Linked DNA regions of Elephas maximus indicus. The protein of the gene in region 3 purifies or fractionates together with the protein of the main gene of each other region. This does not show direct contact. Links are inferred from orthologs where the notes say so. Each region holds a gene or a part of one and is shown on either strand. Other genes may lie near its edges. The genes, in order: signal transducer and activator of transcription 5A, WWOX and ERBB4.

What was found.
Region 1: the proteins of ERBB4 (region 3) and signal transducer and activator of transcription 5A purify together in Homo sapiens (affinity purification with western blotting; 3 studies listed by BioGRID, with this or other methods). This does not show direct contact. The link is inferred for Elephas maximus indicus from reciprocal best matches to the Homo sapiens genes ERBB4 and STAT5A.
Region 2: the proteins of ERBB4 (region 3) and WWOX purify together in Homo sapiens (affinity purification with western blotting; 4 studies listed by BioGRID). This does not show direct contact. The link is inferred for Elephas maximus indicus from reciprocal best matches to the Homo sapiens genes ERBB4 and WWOX.

What each region holds. Positions count from the first base shown.
Region 1 is NC_064837.1:49,224,058-49,231,514, reverse strand, and holds the start of signal transducer and activator of transcription 5A, read right to left. Parts: upstream 3,092-7,457; 5' UTR 3,006-3,091; exon of another isoform or gene 3,002-3,005; intron 2,214-3,001; 5' UTR 2,204-2,213; coding exon 2,076-2,203; intron 1,749-2,075; coding exon 1,592-1,748; intron 414-1,591; coding exon 324-413; intron 1-323. UniProt on the Homo sapiens protein: Carries out a dual function: signal transduction and activation of transcription. Mediates cellular responses to the cytokine KITLG/SCF and other growth factors. Mediates cellular responses to ERBB4.
Region 2 is NC_064839.1:43,875,960-43,883,791, reverse strand, and holds the start of WWOX (WW domain-containing oxidoreductase), read right to left. Parts: upstream 3,014-7,832; 5' UTR 2,680-3,013; coding exon 2,573-2,679; intron 1-2,572. UniProt on the Homo sapiens protein: Putative oxidoreductase. Acts as a tumor suppressor and plays a role in apoptosis. Required for normal bone development. May function synergistically with p53/TP53 to control genotoxic stress-induced cell death.
Region 3 is NC_064824.1:111,015,143-111,022,681, reverse strand, and holds the start of ERBB4 (receptor tyrosine-protein kinase erbB-4), read left to right. Parts: upstream 1-4,440; 5' UTR 4,441-5,142; coding exon 5,143-5,224; intron 5,225-7,539. UniProt on the Homo sapiens protein: Tyrosine-protein kinase that plays an essential role as cell surface receptor for neuregulins and EGF family members and regulates development of the heart, the central nervous system and the mammary gland, gene transcription, cell proliferation, differentiation, migration and apoptosis.

The DNA.
Region 1 (7,457 bases), on a different chromosome or scaffold from region 3:
CCCAAATGGTATCTCATTTAATTCTCACAACAACCCTATGAGATAGGTACTGTTATTATCCCCATTTTACAAAGGAAGAAACAGAGGCTCAGAGAGGTTAAGTAACCTGCCCAAATCAGACAGCTAGCAAGCGGTAAAGCCCGAGATTGAACATGGGCAGTCACTCTGTACCTGAATGTAATACTGCCTCTCACAGTTGCCTGTGTCTCTTATTTCACTGGTTCTCCTCATGCCAGCGTTCTATAGAAACGCAGTTGTGTCTGTGGAGAAGAACGTGTGGAAGGACTTCGCAACTCCTCTTCCCACACCCATGGGACACTTACATTGTTGGCTTCTCGGACCAGCCTCTGTTCATTGTACAGAATGTGGCGGATGCAGCGGACCAGCTCCATGGGGCAGCGGTCGTATGTGTTCTGAAAGAATCCAAGAGCAACCACCAGTGCCCACACTCTGCTCCAGCCATGTCCATCCAGTGCCATGACCACCCCTTCCTCTCCTCCAGCCTCTGCCTCAGCCTTCCCCAGGAAGCCTCAGGAACTATCACCAGACAGCTCTTGTCTCTCCTTGACTCGACTTCCCCTCCCCGGTCTTCATGTTTGGTCGGCAGTGAATTAGAAACTCACAGCTTACAAAGCACTTCCAATCTACCATCCCCTTCGGCTCTCACAGCATAGAAACCCCATGACATAAGCTGAAACTATTATGTCCACATCACAGATGGGAAAACTGATGCTCAGAGAGGTTAAGTACTTGTCCAGAGGCAAACAAGAGAGCAAGCAGCTAACTCAAGTTTGAGACTCAGGGCATCTAATGCCAAGATCAAAGCAATTTCCACTATACCCCTGCTCCTGGGTTCCTAATTTGCTCCCCCTACCCCAAGTTTCTCTTGTTTTCTCCTTCTTTTGGGATGGACTTTTTATTTCCCAGGGACCGTGCTGTTTGTATTTAAGGCTCTCTAAGAAATTAAGAAATACAAGTGAGTTTCAATATATGCTTGACTGTGATCACCACCTACACCCCTTTCCTGCTTCCACAAAAACTTCTTCTCCTTCCCCTCTCCCCTTCCCCCATGTGAAGGTAAAACTACGCCTCACATCTGAACTCTCCATTCCAGGCCCTTTTATCCAGCTCTTGCCTTCAGGACAACTCTGCTCATTTTCCGTCCCTCAGTTCAGCTCCTCTCCCAGGTTTCAAAGAGCCCCAAGAGGGGTGTCTGGTTGCCATATTCCCTCACTTCAGAATCTGCCAGTCTTCCTTCAACAGAGGAATCCTGACTCAGTCTACCTCCATCCCTTCTGCTGTCACTGAAGATACTTCCTTTGCTTGATCTGTCCATCATGCTGTTCCACCCATCTTCCTTCTCTTGGGACAAACATCCAACACCCCTTGCTTTGTAATATGGTAAAGGAATCTGACATGTCTGATTTAGAAAGAGGGGGTGGGGGAAATTGAAGCACTGAAAAGTTGCAGATAAGCTCAGGGTCACATTGTGAGTCAGCGGCCAGGCCAGGAAAAAAACCCAGGGGCTCTGATGCTGGAAGAAGGCAGACGGACACTGCCTCCCTATAGATGGCCCAGCGCTCACACCCACCTGGAGCTGTGTGGCATAGTGCCCCAGCTTGATCTTCAGTAAAAACCCATCTTCCCCCACTTGGTGCTCGGCCTTCTTCTGCAGCTCCTGCACCAGGCCCTCTAGGAGCTGGGTGGCCTGGGCTCGGTCCTGGGGATTGTCTAGGTCGATGGCATCCCTTGGGGCAGGACAGGGGAAAGAAGCCTACTATGGCACCTGCTTGGACAAGGATGTGGGGCACCAAGAAGGGCATGGAAAACCCAGGCTTGTGACTAAGGGCACTCTAGGGCCCACAAGACTTGCTCCCGGTAGTTCCACAGGCATCAGAGTCTAGAAACATCCCCTCTCCATTTCCCTGTTCCCCTTTCCCAGGGACACCGCCCCTTTTGCACAGTGAGGGACAGACTGGAGGAGAGTCACACCAATCTACAAAGCGGAGAGTCAGAGGTCAAGGGGCCTGAATGGTAGGGACTGCAGAGGAGGGCGCAGGGCTGGGGCCACCTACCATGGCTGGCTCTCAATCCACTGCGCCAAGTAGTGGCGGACCTCGATGGGGAAGTGCTGCCCATAGAGCACCTGCATCTGGCGCAGCGCATCTCCCTGCAGCTGCTGGGCCTGGATCCAGCCCGCCATGGCTGTTCACCTAGGGCAAGCGGAGGCTGAAGGGTCACCTCCTCCACAGAGGCCAAGAGCTGGGCCTCCCTGAGCCGGGCCGTGCCCACCCATCCCTGGACCGCAGTCAGGCCAAGCCCCTCCCCTCCCACAGACACGCTTTCCTGTGCGGGAAGAAAGACGGTGAGGAGGGGAAGGCCGCCCTTCTCTCTAACAAGGAACCCGCTGAGGCTTGGGGAGGGGCTCTCGAGAGTCAGGTGCCCTCCCCCTCTTCCTCTCCCCTCGCCCCACCGGGGCTTCCCCAGGGGGTGGGGGGGCGCGGGCGGGGGGACTGCCAGAAACTGAAAGAGAAACATGGCAGCGGGGCCAAAGTCCTCAGGAGGGCTGCAAGAGTTTCCCCCTCCTCCCTGCCTCGGACCCCGAGTCCCAATATCTGGGAAAGGGGTAGTTACAGTCCAAATTAGGCCAGCGCCAGCGACCACTCTCACTCGACGGCTGGGTCCCGGCGGGCACGCGGCTGGAGTTGTTAAGCAGAGGGGGTTGGGGCCCGGACGCTTGGCCATCGGCTGGGCCCCCGAGCCGCGCCCCCGAGTCACCTGTCCAGCACGACAGCGCCCCCTCCCCACTGCGGGCCAGGCCCCCTCCTTCCATCCTCTTCCCTTGTCAGCTGTGCGCACTGCAACGAAGCTCCTTTTCAGTCGGGGACTGTTCCCTGCCTCCTCCCGTCTGGCCCCTGGGGTCCCAGGGCGCGGGACCCGGGCAGGAGGCGCGCACCCCTTATCGCGCGCACCGCCGGGGACGCGCCGCCAGGCCACTCACCCACCTGATGGGGCAGAGCCGTCCGGCGGCGGGGCCGGCTAACCGCCAGCGACTCTCACTCCGGCCCGAGCTCCCGGCGGCGGCGGCGGCTGTTACTACAGGAAGGAGCAGAGAGCAGCGATTTCCTCCTCAAAGGTCAGCTGCCTCCAATAGACCATACACAGCGCGCGAGCTCTCCCAACACCCCTCCCTGCCGCCTCGCTCGCTCCCTGCCTCCGCCCTCGGTCGCTGGTTCCCCGGCGAGTGCGCAGCGGCGGCCGCGGCCGGGCCCCGGGCCCCGAGGCTGGGCGGCGCCGCGCGTGGGGGCTGCCCCGACGGCGGGGTCCCCCGGGAGTCCCAGCCAGCCTGAGGCTCCGCAGGAGCGTCCGGGAATGGTGGCGGGCAACAGGCGCAGGAGTGGCCGCTGGGGGTGTAGGGTAGGGCTGGAAAACCCCGGGCCCTGGAAATCCCAAACCAGGGGCTCAGTTTTCTCATCTGTGAAAAGGGAGGTGGGAAGGGCTGGACTAGCTAGAGATGGCTTCCAGCTCCGGCGTTTTGTCATCTTTTGTCTCTAGATTAAGAAAAAAAAAAAAATTTGTGTGTGTTTATGTGGGTTGGGGGCACAGGTTTTGTGAAGTCAGAGGCAGAGCTTAGCAAGGGGAAGGCCTGGGGATTCCAGAGAAGTGGAGCTCACCGCCAGCACCTCTTTCCATTAGTCCCAGCACCGTCGACTCACCCGCTGCAGTAGGAACGGGCAAGGACCTTGACATTCATGTATTGAGCCTCCAAAAATTTGCAGATAAGAAATTGAAGTCTAGAGAGGGGAAGGGGCTTGCGAGGGTCACACAGCTAGATCTAGTCCCCTGAGTATGGTCCATAAGTTGTCCTGCCCTTCCCCTCACCCCAGCCCAGTTACATCTGAGGCTGGTCCTACCTTCAAAAGGTCCAGGGAGGGATTGTCGTGAATCCCACTCACAGCCCTTACAGCCTCCTGTAGACCTTGCCACAGTAGCCAACCCCCTTCCAGGGACCTTGCCTGGGTCACAACCCTGCCCCCTCTGACAGCCCCCCAACAGGGCTCTCCTGGTTGGGTAAGGCCAAACTGGAACCCTTCCATTCCCTTTGCCCAGCTTCCCTCTCCCCTGGGCCTCCCCTCTCTCTGGCAGCTGGTATTGGCAGCACCAAGGGAGGGGCCAGCTTGGCTGCCCACTTACAGCACAGCTGGGCCAAGGCTGCATGTCCTCCGGGGCTCGTTCTCATCTGCCTCCCTCCCTCCCTCCCAAATCCCTTCTTAGATCTGCCCTTTTCTCTCCATTCCCTGCTCCCCATGCCCCCTTACCCCTCCCTGATCGCACCATTATCTCCCCTACTTTCAATGTTTTTACTTCAAAGAAACATTTAGGTTTAAAGTGTAAGTAGGTGAAATGTCTGGGTCCCACCCCATCCCCCTTTCTTTCCATGTTTGGTAAGGTCACAAGGAAGGGAATTGAAAACCATAAGGGGTGCGTAGAGGACTGGGGAAACCTTACCCCACGGATGTTCCAGGAGACCCTTAAAAATAAAACTAAACCCACTGCTGTGGAGTCCGACTCATAGTGACGCTATAGGACAGAGTAGAACTGTCTCAGAGAGTTTCCAAGGAGCGCCTGGCAGATTTCAACTGCCGACCTCTTGATTAGCAGCCATAGCACTTAACCACTAAACCACCAGGGTTTCCCAGGAAAGCCTTCCGAACCCACTGCCGAGTCGATTCCGACTCACTCATAGCGACCCTATAGGACAGAGTAGAACTGCCCCACAGAGCTTCCAAGGAGTGCCTGGCAGATTTGAACTGCCAGCCTCTTGGTAACAGCCGTATCACTTAACCAGTACGCCACCAGCAGAACCTTAGGGAGGAGAAATCACAATCCCTTCTCTCCTTCCTCCCACTCTGTGCTATGAGCAGGCAGGATCAGACACAGAGCTGGGTGTCCTTCTTTGCCTGTTTTCTTTGTGTCTTTGTGTCTGTGTTCTCACCTTGAGAAGCAGTGGGGAGTGAGAGGAGTTTTGGAGCCTTCCCAGGATTGGCAAAGGCCACCCAAGGGAGTGGGGGAGGGGAGGACATCAGAGTTGGGTTGGGGGCAGAGGCGGCTGTGGTCATGGCTCCAGATAACACAACTACCCGGAAATGTCAAATTTGGGGTTTCTTTTTGCTTTCAGTCCCCTGGTTTGGTCTCTGCTATTTCCCACCACAAAGCACCTGGTGGTTTTAGGGGCCCATTCTATGAAGGAGAAAACTGAGGCCTAGGGGTTGGGGTTCAGGAAGATCAGAAAGTGCTTAGGGTCTACACTAAGCTGGGGTCCCAGGCTGGCCTCCTTGCCCCTACTGCCTCCCACCCCCAATTCTAAGGCACGGAATTAGGTGAAAAGTAAGGAACAAGTAAAAAATCTTATGGAATACTTCACCAAAGAGAAGACTGGCCATATTTTATTAGGAATAATAACCGTCCCCAGCTTAGTCTGTAGTTAGCACACTATACACATATTCTGAACTAAATCATGGCATATTCGTGAGCAAACGTGGTTGTACACTTCGTAGACGGGGCCAAAATCATCCCCTTTGGTTAGTCCAGGAAAGAGAGCTGTCCAAAGCTGTCTGAGCAGTGAGCGGCACCAGGATCCACGTTGCCTGGCCCTGTGGGCAGGGTCCCAGTGCAGACATTCCATCTCTCCCAACCCCAGCACACACTTGCAGAATGTGGATGTCTCCCTTTGATGGGGTCAGCCCATAACTGTTGTGTGGTGCGGAGCATGGCACCTCCACCCCCATGCCAGCCCATGCCCCTCCTCTGTTGAATAGAGGCCTTATGTGAAAGTGGGTTCAGTTTATGGAGGAAGAAAAGAATTGTCCCCAGTCCCCTGCCTTGCCATTGGGGACCAGGTTAGCTGAAAAGGCCCTGCAGATGCCCCTACCTGGGGAGAACAGATTGAGGTCACCTTGACCTGACCATTCCTGAGGGTGGGGAGGTGGACAGAGATGCCTTTGTTTCCTCTGCTCCAAGTCTCTTCTTCAAGGAGAGCTCCTGCTGCGTGGGAGCCAGGGGGAGGGGGGGTGGGAGTGAAGGGCCTTCCCAGGAAAGCTGGAGGCATTCCAGGAAGTAGCTCTGCACCCAGGTGGGGGGGGGGGGGGGCGGAGAGCTGAAACCCTTGGGGTCTTAAATATCCTGCTTCACCCCACCATGTCTCTGCTTAGCTTGTTCACCTCCACTCCAGCCCCATCCCCTAGCTCTTAGAAGGCCCGTTCTCAAGCCTCCTCACCCTGGGATCTCCCTGTAGAAATGCTGCCCCCATTCTTGTCCATGAAGACAGATGAGGACCTAAAGAGGGCATCTTTGTGCATGGTGAGGAATTTGGTATGAATTTGGAGGAGGGTAAGGCGCTGCTGGGTCCCTGGTAAAGCCTGATCTGCCTTTTTGCCCCTGTCCCCTGTCCCCCATCATTCTTCAGGGAAGCCAGTTTACAGTGAAGTCACCAAGAGAACACAAGGCTATCCCGCCTGAGGCATATTGACTGTTTTCCGTTTCTGGGAAGAGTGTGGGGAGGGGGGCAGGACTGGACAGTGTGGATGGAAGGGGGAAATTCTGCCTTCCTTTGCCCAGCTGCCCTGCCCAACTGCCTTGGGGGAGAGGGGCCCAGGCCCGGTTCTCTTTAGACAAGGAGAGGGGATGCAGGGTCTGTGCTCCCCAGCAAGGGAGTGGGGAGACTGCCCTTTTCAAGTGCTCCTCATAGAGGAGAGGTGAGCCACTGGATGGGGCTGGGCCGCTGAGTGGGGCTGGTGCTGTCCTGAGCAGCCCAGGGTTAGGTCTGCTTCTCATCCTGATTCACGATGACTATCAGGCCCCTCTTCCCGCTAAGCTAGGTTCTCCTTCTTCAGCCCAACAAGAACTCTTTTGTGCCTTAGCCAGCCCTGTACCCAACCTCAAGCCCTCTAGGCATTGTGTTGGGGGGGGCTGTCCATCTCCGTCCCTACCACCCCCACCACTCTCCCACTTGCCTTTGTTATGATTGGAGGGAGTTCCTCTCCATGTCTCTGTTTCTCATCGTTTCCTGATTTCTTAAGCACGTAGACCCACCCACATCTTCCCTGCCTGCTGCTGTGCTCCAAGGTTCATAAAGGGCGTGCTAGCCCAAGGAGCAAATGGGGGATATAAAGCCAAAAAGAAGACCTGGCTAATGCCCCAGTCCCTCCTCTCTGGCTACTGGCTTGGTCATCATTGCCTGCTGGGATCAGTGCCAAGCATAAGCCTTCCCTTCACTCCATGCTTCAGCCCTGTCGTTGCCCCAATACACTGACCTCCCTCAACCTCACGTCTTTGCCTCCTGTGTTCCACCTACCTGGTGTGCCATTCCTGCCTTGGCCACCTGGTGCAAGCCTCCTCATCTTTCATATAGTCAGTGTGGTGGAGAGGAAAACACAAGGCTTTGGCGTCATAAAGTC
Region 2 (7,832 bases), on a different chromosome or scaffold from region 3:
GGGATCAGGAAAAAGACAAGCGAAAGGGATGAGAGAGACCAAGTGACCTGCAGGACAGGAAGCATCACACCAGGTCGGAGTGAGCAGGCCCTTGCCTAATTCAATTTCTCAGCTTACACCGGCCGTTTCCAGTCTGCCCTGAGGATCTTTAAGGCACCTGCTCCCTGGAACAGGAACAAGCGAGTCACTGGACAGTAATCCCCAATCCCAGCCCCCTCAAAGACAATAACAACCAGAGATAGACCTCAAATTCCTGCCAGGGGAACACAGGGCTCAGATCTGCAGCCTGCGGCACACATCTGTCCTGAGGGGCACAGGTGCCCTGAAGGCAGAACCCTTGGGTCTAAATGAAGAGAGTAATTTTGTGGTTGAGGACTCCGGAGCTTGGCTTTCCCACTTACCAGCTGCATGCCCTGGAAGATACTGTTTAACCTCCCTGTGCCTCAGTTTCCTCATCAGTAAAATGAACATAATAGTAACACATATTGCTGCTGTTAGGTGCCGTCTCATAGAGGCCCCATGCGAGAGAGTAGAACTGACCCATGCAGTTTCCTAGGCTGCAACCTTTACAGGAGCAGATCACCAGGTCTTTCCTTCTGTAGAGCCACTCGTGGGTTCACACTGCTCACAAGTTTTGGTTAACAGCTGAGGGCTTAACACTACCACCAGGCATCCCTATGGTGACACCTACTCAGGGTTATAGAAAGGACTGAACAAGCTAACATGTGTGAAGAGCTCAGAACTATGCCTTCCACACAGTTTTTCAAAGTGAAGACTTACATGTAAAAATTAATTAAAAGTTATTCTTTTTAATTGTAGCCTAAAGTAAGTTTTTAATAAAGAGTAAATTATAACAAGTCCCCAAAGTGTTATCTTCCTTAAATAGAAGCCTTCTTTCATTTTTTTTCAATAAGCTTTTTGTCATTTAAAGAAATAATTATTGGTGATTTTAATTCAAACCAAAGGGATCAAAATTACATTTATACTACATTATATGAACATCACTTTCATGTATGCTCGTCCAAGTTTTTGGATTTTTTTAAGCATAGTTTCTGTAAGTTGGCACAGAGATCTAGAGCTCACAGTGAGGAAGAAGAGCCCAGGCGAGCATCCTGTGGAAAAGAACCACCTTTCAACAGGGAAAGGCTGGCTGTATTCTGGCAGCCAAGAGGCCTGGGCAGAAAAAAAGGGGCGAGTGGGAAGGATTCAGGAAGACCCCAGCACCGGCACCTTGTTCCTCCACCCATCTGCCACAGAAGGGCCACTTTAGACCACTGCAGGGAGGGGAGAAAGGACTGGCTAGCTCTCTCTAGCGGGAGGTCTGCCCTCAGTGGGTGTGAATGTCCCAGAGCTCCCCTTACTTGATAAGACCCTGGAAACAGTGGATGACTGCCTCTCCCTGGAGACCCCAGGCTGGTGGGGGTTCCATGCAAGGTGTCTCTCAGTACACATGGGGCATCAGTAAAGGTGACCTGGTAAGCAGGAAAAGGGTAAAGCTGGAAAAGGGGTTTCCACAAGGTCTCAATAGGAGCTACAGCTTCTGTCCCATCAGCCCTGGCCTTGGGCCTGGCCCTGCTGCAGTGAAAGGAAAACATGTTGGAAAAATGACTTGAAGGACAATCTTTGTGAATGCACATTATCAAAGTTTCCCAACCCGCAAGAGAAAGACTAGTGGCCCTTCCAGAGTTAGGAGGGAAAAGAAAGGCCAGAGACACTCACACATGTCAGGAGAGATCAAGGGGACTGTTGAGAATCCAGGCTTAGGAAAGGTCAAAGACCAGACCGCCCAGCAGAGGTCTGGAAAGATGTACCTTCCAGCTATGGGAACCAGTCAAGACCAGTCACCCATGTCAGTGTAATAAAAGAGGGGCCTTGTGGAGACTCAGTATTTGTACTTAAGACACTCCCTAGCTGCAGAGACAGTGGGAAAGGCTAACAGTTATTATTTATTACTTTTATTATTAGTATTTAAGACACCTTCTGTTAAGTGTTTTACGCACAGTGCCTGGACCAACCTCATAGCAACCCATTTTACCGATGAGAAAACTGAGAGTGTTTTTTTCAGTTGCCCAAGGTTATAAAACAAATGATGGTGCTAAGACTCTGAAGGGTCTGCGAGCGTTTTCAGGACTTTCCCAGGAAAGGATAATGAAACTCTGTAAGGCATTTGTTAAAAGGTACATATTCCCAGGCCCCCTCCCCAGACCCCCGAGGAGGGACGTGGACTTCTGCACGTTGTTTTATCTTCTGTATTACTGTTTTTGGATAAGGCCAGTTTGCCCACCACTGCGCCGTGCAGTGCTGCCTCCTGGACAGCAGAGGGCGCGCCTGACGTTGCCAGGTGACCCTCGCTTGACCCAGGGCTCAAGAAGAGGGGCCAGCCCCTTCTCGGGACCGGCGAAGCCCTTCAGCTGAAACTCTCCAGCAATTACTTCCACTTTGCACCGCCCTCGCCACGCAGGCCCACGGTGCCGCGCAGGTGGCGTGCGAGGGCAGTGGAGTGGCCGGGCACGTGAGGCCGTCGGGTTCCAGGTGCGTCCTGGCCCGGCGGCGCCCACTGCGGCCCCCTTACTTGGCATAGTAAACCCAGCCGTCCTTGGTGGTTCTCTCCTCCCAGCCCGGAGGCAGCTCGTCTTCGCTGTCCGTGTCGTCCAGGCCTGCGTAGCGCAAGGCTGCCATGGCGGTGTGAGGAGGTGCTCTGTCACCCACTCGTTGGGTCGCCTGCCGCCGGGTCTCCTCACCCAGAAACTCCCGCTTCAACCGAGTGCCGCGCGCGTTGTTCCCCGACCGCTCGCGCCTGCGCACTGCGCCGCCCAAAGTCGCTCAGCTGACTCCGTAGCTGCAATCCAGTCTCCAGAGTTTCAAAACTGCCAAGCGAAAATGGGCGGGGCCCGAGGAGAAGCGTGGTGAAAGCACCTAGGAGGTCGCACGGCCATTCGGCTGGAATTAAAAGCCGGAGAACGCTCCACGTTTCTGGAAATGGAGTGGCGCTTCGTCAAGCTGCAGGCCGCAGGGAAGGGGCGTGCGCATCCTGTCACTGTCCAGGGCTTCACCCGTTGCTGGGAGAGCGTAATCCCTTCCGCGTTATTCTGACCAATCCTGCGGGAGCTCTAGCAATGGGGCATCCTGGGAGATGTAGTCCAGGCACACCCGTGCTAGAAAGCGGCGCCAACAGGAAAAGATTCCGAGGGTGGTTCGCCGGACTGCAGCATTTTCTTGTTTTAGGGCCTTATGAAGAGTGAATGCCCCTTCAGAGAAACCTTCCCGGGCTCTCCATCACCCAGGCTGTGTGTGAGTCACAAACTTTGTTGGGCCTATAAATCGCCTGGAGAACGTTAAAAATGCAAATTCCCGCGTTTTCAGGTGACAGGCAGTCTGACAGAAGTCTCGTCCCTCTTCAGCGTGATTCCATTAATAACTAACATTTATCGAGCGTTTAACATCGGGTCCCTGGTTAGAAATTCACAGACTAACTCTGTCATGTATGGGACACCTTCGTGAGGTGTTAGCTAACTACCCAAGGATGCACAGCTAGAAAGCCAAGAGCTGGGAATATGGGCAGTTGATACACTATTACTGCATTATAATTATCTGTGTACTCCCCACTACACTGAGAGAAATCGTATCTTAGGCTTCTTTTTTATCACTAACATCTAGTAAAATGCCTGGACCTACACGTTTATTGAATGAATGAAATGAGTGAATGTGATTCCTTCATCACTTAGGGGTGGTCCTTTATGAATCAACCCTAATTAAAAACAAAATTTCAAATTTACAAAGCAGGCTTCTTCAAGTCCTCTTGGAGTTCTGACAAACCAAACCAAACCCATTGCCATCAAGTCAATTCTGACTCATAACCCAGAGCCCAGTGCCGTCGAGTTGATTCCAACTCATAGCGACCCTATAGGACAGAGTAGAACTGCCCCATAGAGTTTCCAAGGATCGCCTGGCGGATTCGAACTGCCGACCCTTTGGTTAGCAGCCGTAGCACTTAATCACTATGCCACCAGGGTTTCCCTTCTGACTCATAGTGACCCTATTTATAGGACAGAGTAGAACTGTCTCTAGGGTTTCCAAGGATCAGCTGGTGGATTCTAACTGCAGACCTTTTGGTTAGCAGCTAAGTTCTTAACCACTACACTATCAGGGCTCTGGAGCACTGACAAGCATCCTACAAATGTCCTGTGTAAAAAACCTGAAGCATATCTTCAACTAGGCCTTGGTTACAGAGTTTTCCAGAACAGTCCCCCTTTGCAACTTGGCTCCCAGCCCTGTGTTACAGGGAGATCTGTTGACCATGATTTCTCTGGCCTAGGTCTCAGAAATATACAGGCCTGTATCAGAAAAAAAAATAATACGTATTGTAAGTGAGCAGTATTATTTTTGTCTTTTTGAGTCCTGAAATTGGTATTGCTTTAGATACCTGCTTGCATGCTCTTGAGAGACTTCTTGCTTTCCTTTGAAATTGCCCAATCAAAATCTAACTAAATGAAATCACATTTTAATTTTAACAGACCTGCTATCCCACCTCGAACCTATCGAAACATGATTTTTTTCCCAAATCCATGTGTATTTAAATAAGCCATTTTATATATATAAATACATATGTATGTTAATCTGCTGCTCCTCTGCTCACCCCGGTTTACCCCCCAACCTTACCCAAGCCCGCTCATTCTTTTAATATGAATAGGAAATTAGGTCTTAAAGGCCCCTGGTGGTGGGAAGGCAGGTGAATGGGGCCAAACTGATTAGCCTCAGTATCTCCAATCATTATCTGTGGCCAGTGCTCAGCTTCTCAAAGACTGACTTGACTGTTTAGATAATTATCTTGGGTTACCCCTGACCAGAGGAGCCTGGGTCCTGCAAGCTGTTTTTGCTCAACTACTAACCTAAAGGTTGGTGGTTTGAATTCACTAAGTGGCTATGAGAAAGAAAGCCCTGGCAAACTGCTTTTGTACAGATTACAGCCAAGAAAACCCTATGGAGGAGTTCTACTCTGAAATACATGGGATCACCATGGGGACGTGGGGGGCAAAGAGCCCATTTCTGACAGGAGACTACAGAGTGGTACTTGGACCCTGTTGGTTTTAGCCACAGGTTCCGTAGCATTGTTCCAGTACACCTGCCTCTTGAGTTTCTAGCCCATCTCTGCAGCTGAGAGACATGGGCCAGCAGGGAGTCTGGGTGGGTGGCCCAGACACCAGTAATGGTCCCAAGTGATTATCATGACCTCATCTGATTCCCCCTCTCCTTACATCTTATTTGTTGGCCTTTATCAGAAGGTTTAAAAAGTAAGATATACAGGCATTTGGGGACTTGTGAGGATTAGCATTACCATGCCAGATTCTAGGGTATTCTTTTGACTTCACAAAAACTAAAGACTCATTCAAGAATTTATGGTTGTACACATGAACTATAACATTAGCAGGGCCTGAGGGATCCCAAAGACAGGCCCATTTTTTCTTTCTCATGGGTTTCACGGTCTCTTGCCACCCCCACCCCCCCAAATCCCCTTGCTCTTGGGCCACATTTTCTGTTCTCTCCTTACTTTCTTCCTCTGTTTACTCATAGTTTTGCCTCCATTCTCTCCCCCACCCCCTCCCCCCCCCAATCCATAACTTCTAGCTTGCATATAGCTTTGACTTTGCTTTTAAAAAGGTTTATCAAAGGGCAGGCCCTTATATAGTACGATTATAATGGTTTCGAGGAACCTTAAATTCAGGAATGAGCCAAGCTCCTCAAAATGTACTCCTAAGAAAGTCTAAAGAGTGGTTTGTTTTTGAAAAGCTAACTGGCTCACACTATTAAAAAAAAGTGTGGTTATACAACTAGACACCAGATGGCCCTATCAGCCCAACTCATGACAAATTATGGATTTCTACGTTTCAGCTTTCTTATTACTTCTGCAATATCTGACAATTTATGAACATAAGACTGGTTTTTTTTGTTGTTGTTGTTTTTTTGCTGAAAACAAAATTTGGTACTACTCAAAAAAACATATGCAGTGGGCACAAGTTTTTGCCTTAACATTTCTAAAGCTTCATTGGTTTAGTTTATTCTCATTACCAGGAGGATGGTGGTCATTTCCTTCCCAACACTAAACACACACCCCAATAAAGGCTCTTCTGTTAACCTTTTTTACCAAGAGATAACCAGCAAAGAGGAATGATGAACAGGTGTTTTAGGAAAAACTCTTTTCTGGTCTATGTGGTCTTATTTGGAAAGGTGTGTTTGTATTTCACTTATTCATTCAAACATATGAGTGGAAAAAAAAAATACACTATGTCTCAGAGGGAAAAATATTGAGAAAATGAGACACTCGCTATATTCAGAAATCACAGTCAATTGGGATAACACCAACAGACACACAAAGAACTATGATGTGAGGGTTCTAAGAGAAATTAAGATCAAGATTTATAGGTAGGCAAGGAAGGGGAGAGCCCAGATGTCAGGGTTTCCTAATTTATCTTTGGAATTCAACTATGAGGTAGAATCGACTCGATGGCAACAGGTTGGATTGTTTTTTTTGGGGGGGGTTAAAGTCACTATGGGAACCCTGGTGGCGCAGTGGTTAAGAGCTCCGCTGCTAACCAAAAAAAGGTCTGCAGTTCAAATCTACCAGCTCCTCCTTAGAAACCCTGTGGAGCTGTTGTACTCTGCCCTATACGGTCACTATGAGTCAGAGCTGACTCAACAGCAACGGATTTGTTTTGGTATAATGTCACTATGAGTCAGAATTGACTTGATTGCAATGGGTTTGATTTTTTGATTAATGTCACTTACAAGCTGTGTGACCCTGGTCAAGTCAATTAACTTCCCTTAGAGTCTTTGAAAAATGGAAAATAATAGTGGTGCCTACCTCATAGTGTTATTATAAGATTAAATGTGTCAACACATGTTATTAATGTACCTGCCAGGGTCCAATCAGGCAAAGAGACTCCAGTGTGTCCACATTTGGAATTCATTGCAGGTTATGGAAGAGCTGAGAAGACAAATAGGGGTTGATGATTAGCAACAACGAGAGACTAGCAACAGCCAGAAGCCAGTTTCACCTCTCAGGCAGGTTGTTGTTCCAACCCATTGCCATCGAGTCGATTCCAACTCATAGACTCATAGTGACCCTATAGGACAGAGTAGAACTGCCCCATAGAGTTTCCAAGGAGTGCCTGGTGGATTCAAACTGCCGACCTTTTGGTTAGCAGACGTAGCTCTTAACCACCACACTACCACGTTTTCCTGGTTGTTGTTAGGTGCCCTCAAGTCGATTTTAGCTTATAGCAACCCCATGTGACAGAATAGAACTACCTCATAGGATTTTCTTGGCTGTAATCTTTAAGTAAGCAGATCAACAGGTCTTTTTCCCGTGAAGCCGCTAGGTAGGTTCATTCAGCCAACCTCTGGGTCAGCAGTCGAGCACTCAACTGTTGAGCCACCAGGGCTCTGATCAGGCTGGAGGGAAAAAGCTTCATTATCTCTACCATCTAACAGTGGGGCCTGACCCCTGGGAGCTAGGACAGGGGTGGGAGGGGACAAACAGAAGCTTTGGGCATTATTTCCAACTTTTTCAGTGTTAAAATATTCTATCTTTTATGAAATAATGATGATAGGATGGCAAGTGTTTTTTCATTTGTTTTTGTTTTGTTAATTTTTAAAGTGACCTTCTTGACACAAGTAGAAAGGTGACCATCGCAATTTAAACCACCTCACTAAAATAATACACAAATACCAAAAACAAAAGTCTTTCTCTATTGTGTGAAATCTAAAAGATTGGGATCCACTAAACTAGGTAACTTGTAAAGTCCTTTACAGCTGTGAGAGACCATGAACTTGAT
Region 3 (7,539 bases):
ATAAGAACTTGGACAGACACTGATGAATGGACATAAAGCAACACGGAATTGATTTACTTTTTAGTCACACCTCCTGAGCTCTTAAAAAATTAAGGCTTAATCACGTATATAAAAGGAAAACAACAGTTATTAACCCAAAACAAAATGATCTTGGGGAGGACTTCTTTGAGTGTTAAATTAATGTAACAAAAACATTTCTTTGGTTAGTGCATATTAATATATTCAAACATTTATTGAGCTTTGGCCTTAAAAATTAAATGTCACCAAATATCAGAGAATGCCAGAAATCAGAGGTTTAAGAGCAAAGCTATTATTTCAAGTGCTGAGTTAAAAAGCAAACAGAAAATACCAATATTGTGTTTGTCATCTGCTTGATCACCATAATACTGAATCTGACTGGTACTCAGCAACATTTCCTCTTAACTGGTAGAACAGTAAACATTCAATTCTTTACCACTACACAGTGATATAACTGTGAGCCTATCTGAATATTTTCCTAAGGTAGTTTAAGACACGTGTCTGCGTGGGTGGTCCAGACAGAGATGTGTATTGTGGGTAAGCGGGAAAGAGAAAGGAGGAGGTATGAGAGAGTATTAAAGTCTGTGAAAATTATGACTTACACTTAGTAGATGGTTAGTAAATCATAGACCCATAAAGTCTTGAAATTGAGAGTTTACAACAACAGGCATATGAAGCATATGAAGTAACTATCTCAAGATCACAAGATAACTTAGAAAAATGAATGGGGAGAAAAAAATAGAACCCTAGATTTATTTTTAAATATTCATAAGAAGATAATGGATTTACAATAGCGTTCCATTTCTTTTCTTAGTTGATATTTGTCCCCAATTTATATATATATAACTAATGGCAAAATGTGCTAACAGCAATCTCTAATCTCAGAAACAAACTAAAGATTATGTGAACTGTGGAATTCTGGGACAACGCTAGGGATCTACTTCGAGACTGAACACTCAGTTCAGTGTGTTTCTTTCTGGCACCATCATCATTCTGTCACACATGATATCAGAACTCTTTTTTTTAAATTATATTACTAATGGAAAAAATGAAGTGGAGAGGGGATTCAGGAGAGCAGCCCTGGACAAAGGCATCTATATGTCATGGTTATGGCTTCAACCAAAGGAAATCATGAGAAACCAGGAAAGGAGACTCAACAATATTGGCCATATCAAGATGTCTTCTTCAAGGATCATACTGGCATATATAATCTCATTTATGTTGGAGGGTCCCATTTTACACTCTTTAGGTTTCAGGTAACAAAAATGAAAACTGAACTAGCTGAAGGAAAAAGGGGGTTTGAAAAAATAAGCCTCAGGAAGAGCTTGGATATTCTCCAGACCCATCTGGGATTTTGCTCCTTTCAAATGGCAGCTTCATTCTTTCTTACTGCAGCCTAGTGATCTCTACATAGAAAGAAACATAGCCAGGCCAGGTCTGTAAATCTAGATCTCAAAAGCCACAATGAAAGACTGAATATGAGCTGTTTCTTTCTCATGCACACAGTCTCAGGGAAGAGTCTCAGTGGGAGTGACCATTTTTCACCTAATCAACAGTAACCTAGGCATTTTGATTGGTTCAGTGTAGAACTGGAGAGTCGGGGTAGGCTGTACCATAGAGGCAAATTCAGGTTAAAAATGTAGATCTGGAGGAAGGGCAGTTCCTCGAAATGGGGTACTAAGCAGATAATCTCCGGTGTTTGTCTGTTGGTTAGTAAAATACCTGTAGATACAACCATGTTAGATTAGTCAGTTTTATTTATTTTTTTTTTCAGATTTCGAGTAACAACAACACATGTAACTCAGTTGGTAGAGATTTATCATAAAGATGCATAGGAAAGTGAAGAAGTACAGAGATCAATTTTAGCAAGCCTCTAGCAATCCAGTTAGTATATCCCTCCTTCTACATCAGGTAGTAAATTGTCCCTACTCTGGTGTTCCTTCTTTATGACTCAGCCGAGACCAGAAACAAAATGACAGCATATACAGAAAGAACTAATTCTTGTCTCTGCCTCATGGCTTCTAATTTCTCATCCTTCAGACTTGCCCCCACAGGGTCCCACCCTCCTGTCTACATCTCCAGGTCTTAAATGATCTGAACTAGGCTCTGATTGGGAAGACCAGTCATCCTGAAATGTAGGATGCTTCTGCTTGGTAGTGCTTTCATGCCAATCCATCTTACAAGCTGCTGGTCAGACAATCACTTTTAACCAGGACCAATCATGTTTCAATTAGTTAGAGAGAGGAAAATGGGATCAAAGCAGAACAAACTGAGTATCTGAGGCCTTGTAGAGGCTATCTAGTATATATACACAAACACACACACATACAAAATAGACTAATTTTTTAACCAATGAATATTAATTGAAAACCCTCTTTTGCAAAGAATTATTCTAGAGGTGATGGGTGAGACCAAGATGTATGGAATTCCTGCCACAGAAGAGTAAGTATAAAATTGATGGGGGAGTGGGTGGTAAAAATGATCACAATGGATATGAGTAGAAAAAAAAAACCCAAAATATCCAGACTATTTTTTGCCCACAATTTAAGGTAAAATAAATAACCCATTTCTCACTTCTTACAACAGAACTGGTATCAGAAACAAAGACTTAGTTTTTTTAATAATGGAAATTTTAAAAAGAAGTAGCTTTCATGGAGGAGAGGTGTCTAAGAGTCATAAGAAGCAGAAGGGGATTTAAGGACAAAAGAGTGAGAAGAGATTGAATGAAAGGAAAGAAACCAGAGGGGGTGGGAGATAAAAGTAGAAAACAAAGATGATCCCAAAGAGCAGTAAGCACAGTTCTGCACAATCAGTACCATTCTGGTCAAGTCACCATCATCTCCTTTAGGCTTAACTGCTTCCCACCCTAGGCTGCTTCTGGGTAACAGAGCATGCTCATCTCCTTTGGCCTCCTCTCAAGGCCTGTTACTTGCTCTGGGCCTGAGAGGGAAGGCTTCAGGCTTCTGGGATAAGACTGCTCTTCCTATCTGTTCTCAGCTCCATGGAAATTCTTAAGGGACAGAGCTCTAGATAAAAGCTGAGGAACAAAGGAGAGGTCTTAAATGATGAGTGAAGAGGCAGGATGGCTTGATTTTTAAGCTCCCCTGATACTTTCTATTTATGTATTTGCTACTTCTAGAGAAAGCAAAAGGAAAATAATTCATACGTGAAATGCCTGTGCAAATTGCAAAGCAATAACCTACTACCCTCAGGAGGTTCTGGCCCCTGCCCTGGGTATAGTTTCAGAGTTATAGAAGGCAAGGGGTATGTATACTGATATGACCCGGTCCCAGGATATTTTAGATCCAGGGAAGGCCAGAGACTTCCAGAGCTAGCAATGACCTGGGACTGGGACCATGAACTTGCAGAGTGAGAACATGGAAGGGACCTAAAGCTTGATTCACTATAGAATAATCCTAATCATTTGAGGTCCGTTATCTCCTGACTTGGCCGCCTTAAATTCTTTCATACTAAACAGCTCACACTCTGGGCAACTTCTAGCTTTTCAGGACCAAATCAATACCTTTGGACTAGAATCTGAATAATGAGAATAAACCCAAACCAAGTTGTCCTAGAGCCCAAGAAAAGGGTGAAAACACCTATAAAGTCTAAAATCCAAACAATTTTACCTCCCCCTCCCAAGAAAAAAATCAAACCCATTGCCTTGCAGTCCATTCTGATTGCGACCCCATAGGACAGAGTAGAACTGCCCATAGGGTTTCCAAAGAGAGAGGCTGGTGGATTCGAATTGCCGACCTTCTGGTTATCAGCCCAACTGTTAATCACTGTACCAGCAGGGCTCCAAAAATTTTACAATCCATACAAATGTGGAGTTTTAGTTCGGCTCAGTGTCAGCCAGTTTGGGAAGGTGGGTGTTGGGAGAGACTGCATAGATGGGGAAGGAGGATGATTATACCCCACCACTACCTAATCTGCGGAGGCTCACACTACCCAAAAGTCAGTACTGAGTTTTAAACTATTTGCTTAGTGTGGAGCATGGGGGAACAGGGGAAGGAGGGAAATGTTTTGCCCGAAGCGACGTGGATTTTGCTTCTATTTCTAGGGATGTCTCTGGCTGTGGATTAGCACCTTGGGGCAATGGCGAATGGTGACTTCGTTTTTACGAAACAACCTTTAAACACCCCTCCGGTAATTTGCCCACTCCGCGGGCCAGCTGTCCTGGGCTTCTGCCGGGGCGGGAGGGGGAGTGTTTTAGTCGGTGGCCTCGGATTAGCCCTTTAATACCAGCTTCCCCCGCCCCCAACACCCTTCTCCATCTCCCTGACAGGTGTTTTCCCAACTCCTGAGGCCGAGGATTTTGGGGAGTGGCTGAGCCAATAAGATTTCCCTTTGGGGGGGGCGGGGGAGAAGGCGTGGCTAGTAGGGTCAGAGCAGGGGCGGGGATTGCGCGGCTGAGCAGAGCCTGCTTGGTTGCGTGGAGGGCTGTTTTATTTTATTTTTCCGGAGTCTCATTAATTTCTCTGTGGGGCTGCAGCTGGAGACCGCGGAGCGTTGGAAATGACGCTCGGAGCTTTAATTACCGCAGCCGCCGGACAAGTGTGAGGAAAAGCTGCGAGGGAAAGAAGGGCAGAATCAGGGGAGAAGCGAGAAGCTCCCCCCACCCCGCCCGCCCCTTCCCTCCTGATTTGGACTGGAGGTGCAGGGACCCAGAAAAAGGAGCCGAACGTAGCCCGGCTGGGGTGGAGAGGCCGGAAACCTACCGCCTCTTTGCAATCAACTTTTTTTGGAAACCTTTTTCCCCCTTCCTTTTTATTGTTGACCAACCAGAGCGAGAGAGAAAGTGAGGAGGGAGCGAGAAAGCAAAGGCTCACACGGGGACGTAGCTGCCCAGTCCGGCCGGCCCGAAGCACCACGCGCACACACTCGAGCACACTCCCACCGCACACACCCGCACGTATACTCGAGCCCCCTCCCCGGCCCCGGCCCCGGCCCCGTGCGCGTGGACTCCTTCACCCGCCTCGGAAGCGGTTCGCCGCGCGCGCCGCCCGCCAGCCCCCCTCGCGCCCCACGCGCTCCGGGCTGAGGAATCTTCTCCGCGTGCCAGAAAGGGGATATGCCATTTGGACATGTAATTGTCAGCACGGGATCTGAGACTTCCAAAAAATGAAGCTGGCGACAGGACTGTGGGTCTGGGTGAGCCTTCTTGTGGCGGCGGGGACCGTCCAGCCCAGCGCTTCTCAGTCAGGTGGGTCGCGGTTCCTGCTTCTCGCGCTCCAGTTGTTGAACCTGCTGCCGCCGGCTTGGTCGCCACGGGTGGCTCTCTCACCCTCTTGGTCCAACCGGAGACCCGCTCACTCCCAGGCGTGAAAGGACCACCCGATAGGGGCCTCTTCTTTGGGCTCTCGGTAGCCCTTCTTTCCATTCCTAAACTTACCCTGTGTGTATGTGTTTTGCTTTTGGTGAAAAATCCCTCTGCGTCCCGGCCCGCCTCTTTTTTTTTTTTTTTTTCTCTTAAACTCCCCTTTCTCTCGCGTTTTCTGTGAGCCTTAGCGGGATCCCTGTGGTCGCGCCTGTTGTCCGGGACATGCGAGAGCCAAAAGCTCAGTCAGAGGACGCTAGCCTCTCGCAGTCTCTGCCCGAAAAGGAAGAAGCCTGGGGGAAGCGTGCCCCGGCTGGGTGGCGGTGCCTGGCGGGCTCCTAAAGGGGAACGAGCTGTGGAAGGGGAGCTCCGAGAGCGGGCTTGCACCTGTGTGCGTGCTGGCGGGCGCTGCGCCCCCAGTCGCCGAGCCTTGCGGGGTCAGACCTAACTAGAGCCCAGCCGGGGCAGCCGGGGCGCGGCAGGCGGGCTCGCCTCGGTCCGGGGGCCCGGAACCCGGGGCCTCCTCGGCCGGCGTCTGGGAGTGCATTGGCTTGAGGGGCGCTGACTTGCCAGCCTGAGCTCTTTAAAAAAAAAAAAAAAAAAAAAAAAAAAGGCCTGGCACACTTGAGGCGGTTGCTGTGTTTGGCTCGGGGAAGAGTTGTTCCTGTAGTTCAACTTGCTATTGGCCGGAGTCCCTCCAAGTTCTCTGTTTACAGCCCGGCGGGGCTGCGGAGCCGGCCCGTCGCGCGAATTGATTTACCCCGAGGCGGGCGCGGCGGCTGCGCTCCAGGCGCGGCCACTGTTTGCTGGAGAACTTGAGCCCGGGATACCCCGGCAGGCCCTGGGCTCAGTGAATCCCTAAAGGCAGCGCAGCGGGGCCGGCGCTCCCGGCGGGCAGGACTGCTGACTGCACCTGCCGTGCGAGGGAGCGCAAAGTTTCTGACACTTGAGTTTCCTGGGAGATGACAGTGGGACAGGAAAGGAGAACAGAGGGGAACCCGTGGCCGAGTCGAGGGACAGGGGCCTTTTGGAGAGCCGGGTAGATTTCCGGATTCATCCGGGGCTGGTCACGGGAGCGTGGGAGGCGGCTTGAGGAGATAAAGCTTCCGGAGGAGGCGATAGGGAGAGCTTTAGGCCCCCGGAGTGTGTCCTTCTGACCTCACCAAGAAAACTGCGCGCAGTAGTTTTCCCGCTCCGCCTCCGCCGCCTCCCCCTCCTGCCTTGGTACACAACAAGTTATAATCGTCCAGGCTTTCCAAATGACCTTCGAATGGCACATGTGCACCGTTGGCGCTGGCCGTTTGTACCCTCCCAATTACTCCGAAATTCTTCATGCATACCAAGTCCCGCTCTCAAGCCGCCTCCAGAATTGTCACACCAACACAACACGGTCTGGAGATTCCAAGCGGCCTCTTAGATAACATCCCTTTTTTATCTCCCGCCCCGCTCCGATTCCCTTCATATTTTCCTTCAATGGGTTGATTACGCACATTGACCCATTCAAACGCAGTTGCGACTGCCACGCAGGGTTAGCTGAGAGGAATGTCAAGGAAGCGACCTACTGGGGGCTGTCTGGTGCAGCCTTAGTCGCTGGGGGACCCGACTCGAGTCCGCAGCAATTTGTTATTAACTGTGCGGCTCGGGGGTTAAGTTATGCCGAAAAGCCCTTTTCAGAATTTTTGCAAGGAATGTAATCCAAATTAGTTCTGCAGCTGTCCTCTTCCTCGTCTCAGGCGACACCGGCTCGCGCCCTCGCTAGTCTCTTCTCACTTCCCCCGGGCGAATTGTCAGACCCACAAGTGAGCCCATTTAGAGCGCAAGGATTAGCGTACCATTGTTGTTCCCTGTGTGACTCTGTACTTGAAATTCTAGGGGCACAAAGGCGAGCCTCACTTGTTCAAAACACAAAGTGATCTAGATGAAAGGGCCGCACAAAGAGCTCTCGGGCGCATCCCTGGTCTAATTGCAACACGCATACTCAGGTGATCCACTGGAAACTGTAAATGCCCTTGGGGACTTCTTTTTTCATCCTCTCTCCCCCTGTACGCCGCCGCACCTGGCAGGGAAAGTTAAACTGGTTTTAATGTAGTGCTATTATAAAACCAAGTTACTGTCTGGGGCGTGAGGGAGGTTCCGTGTGTTTGTGACTGTATGTGTGTGGCTGTGTGTTCCCAAGTAAATACATATTGCATGTCTCCCCT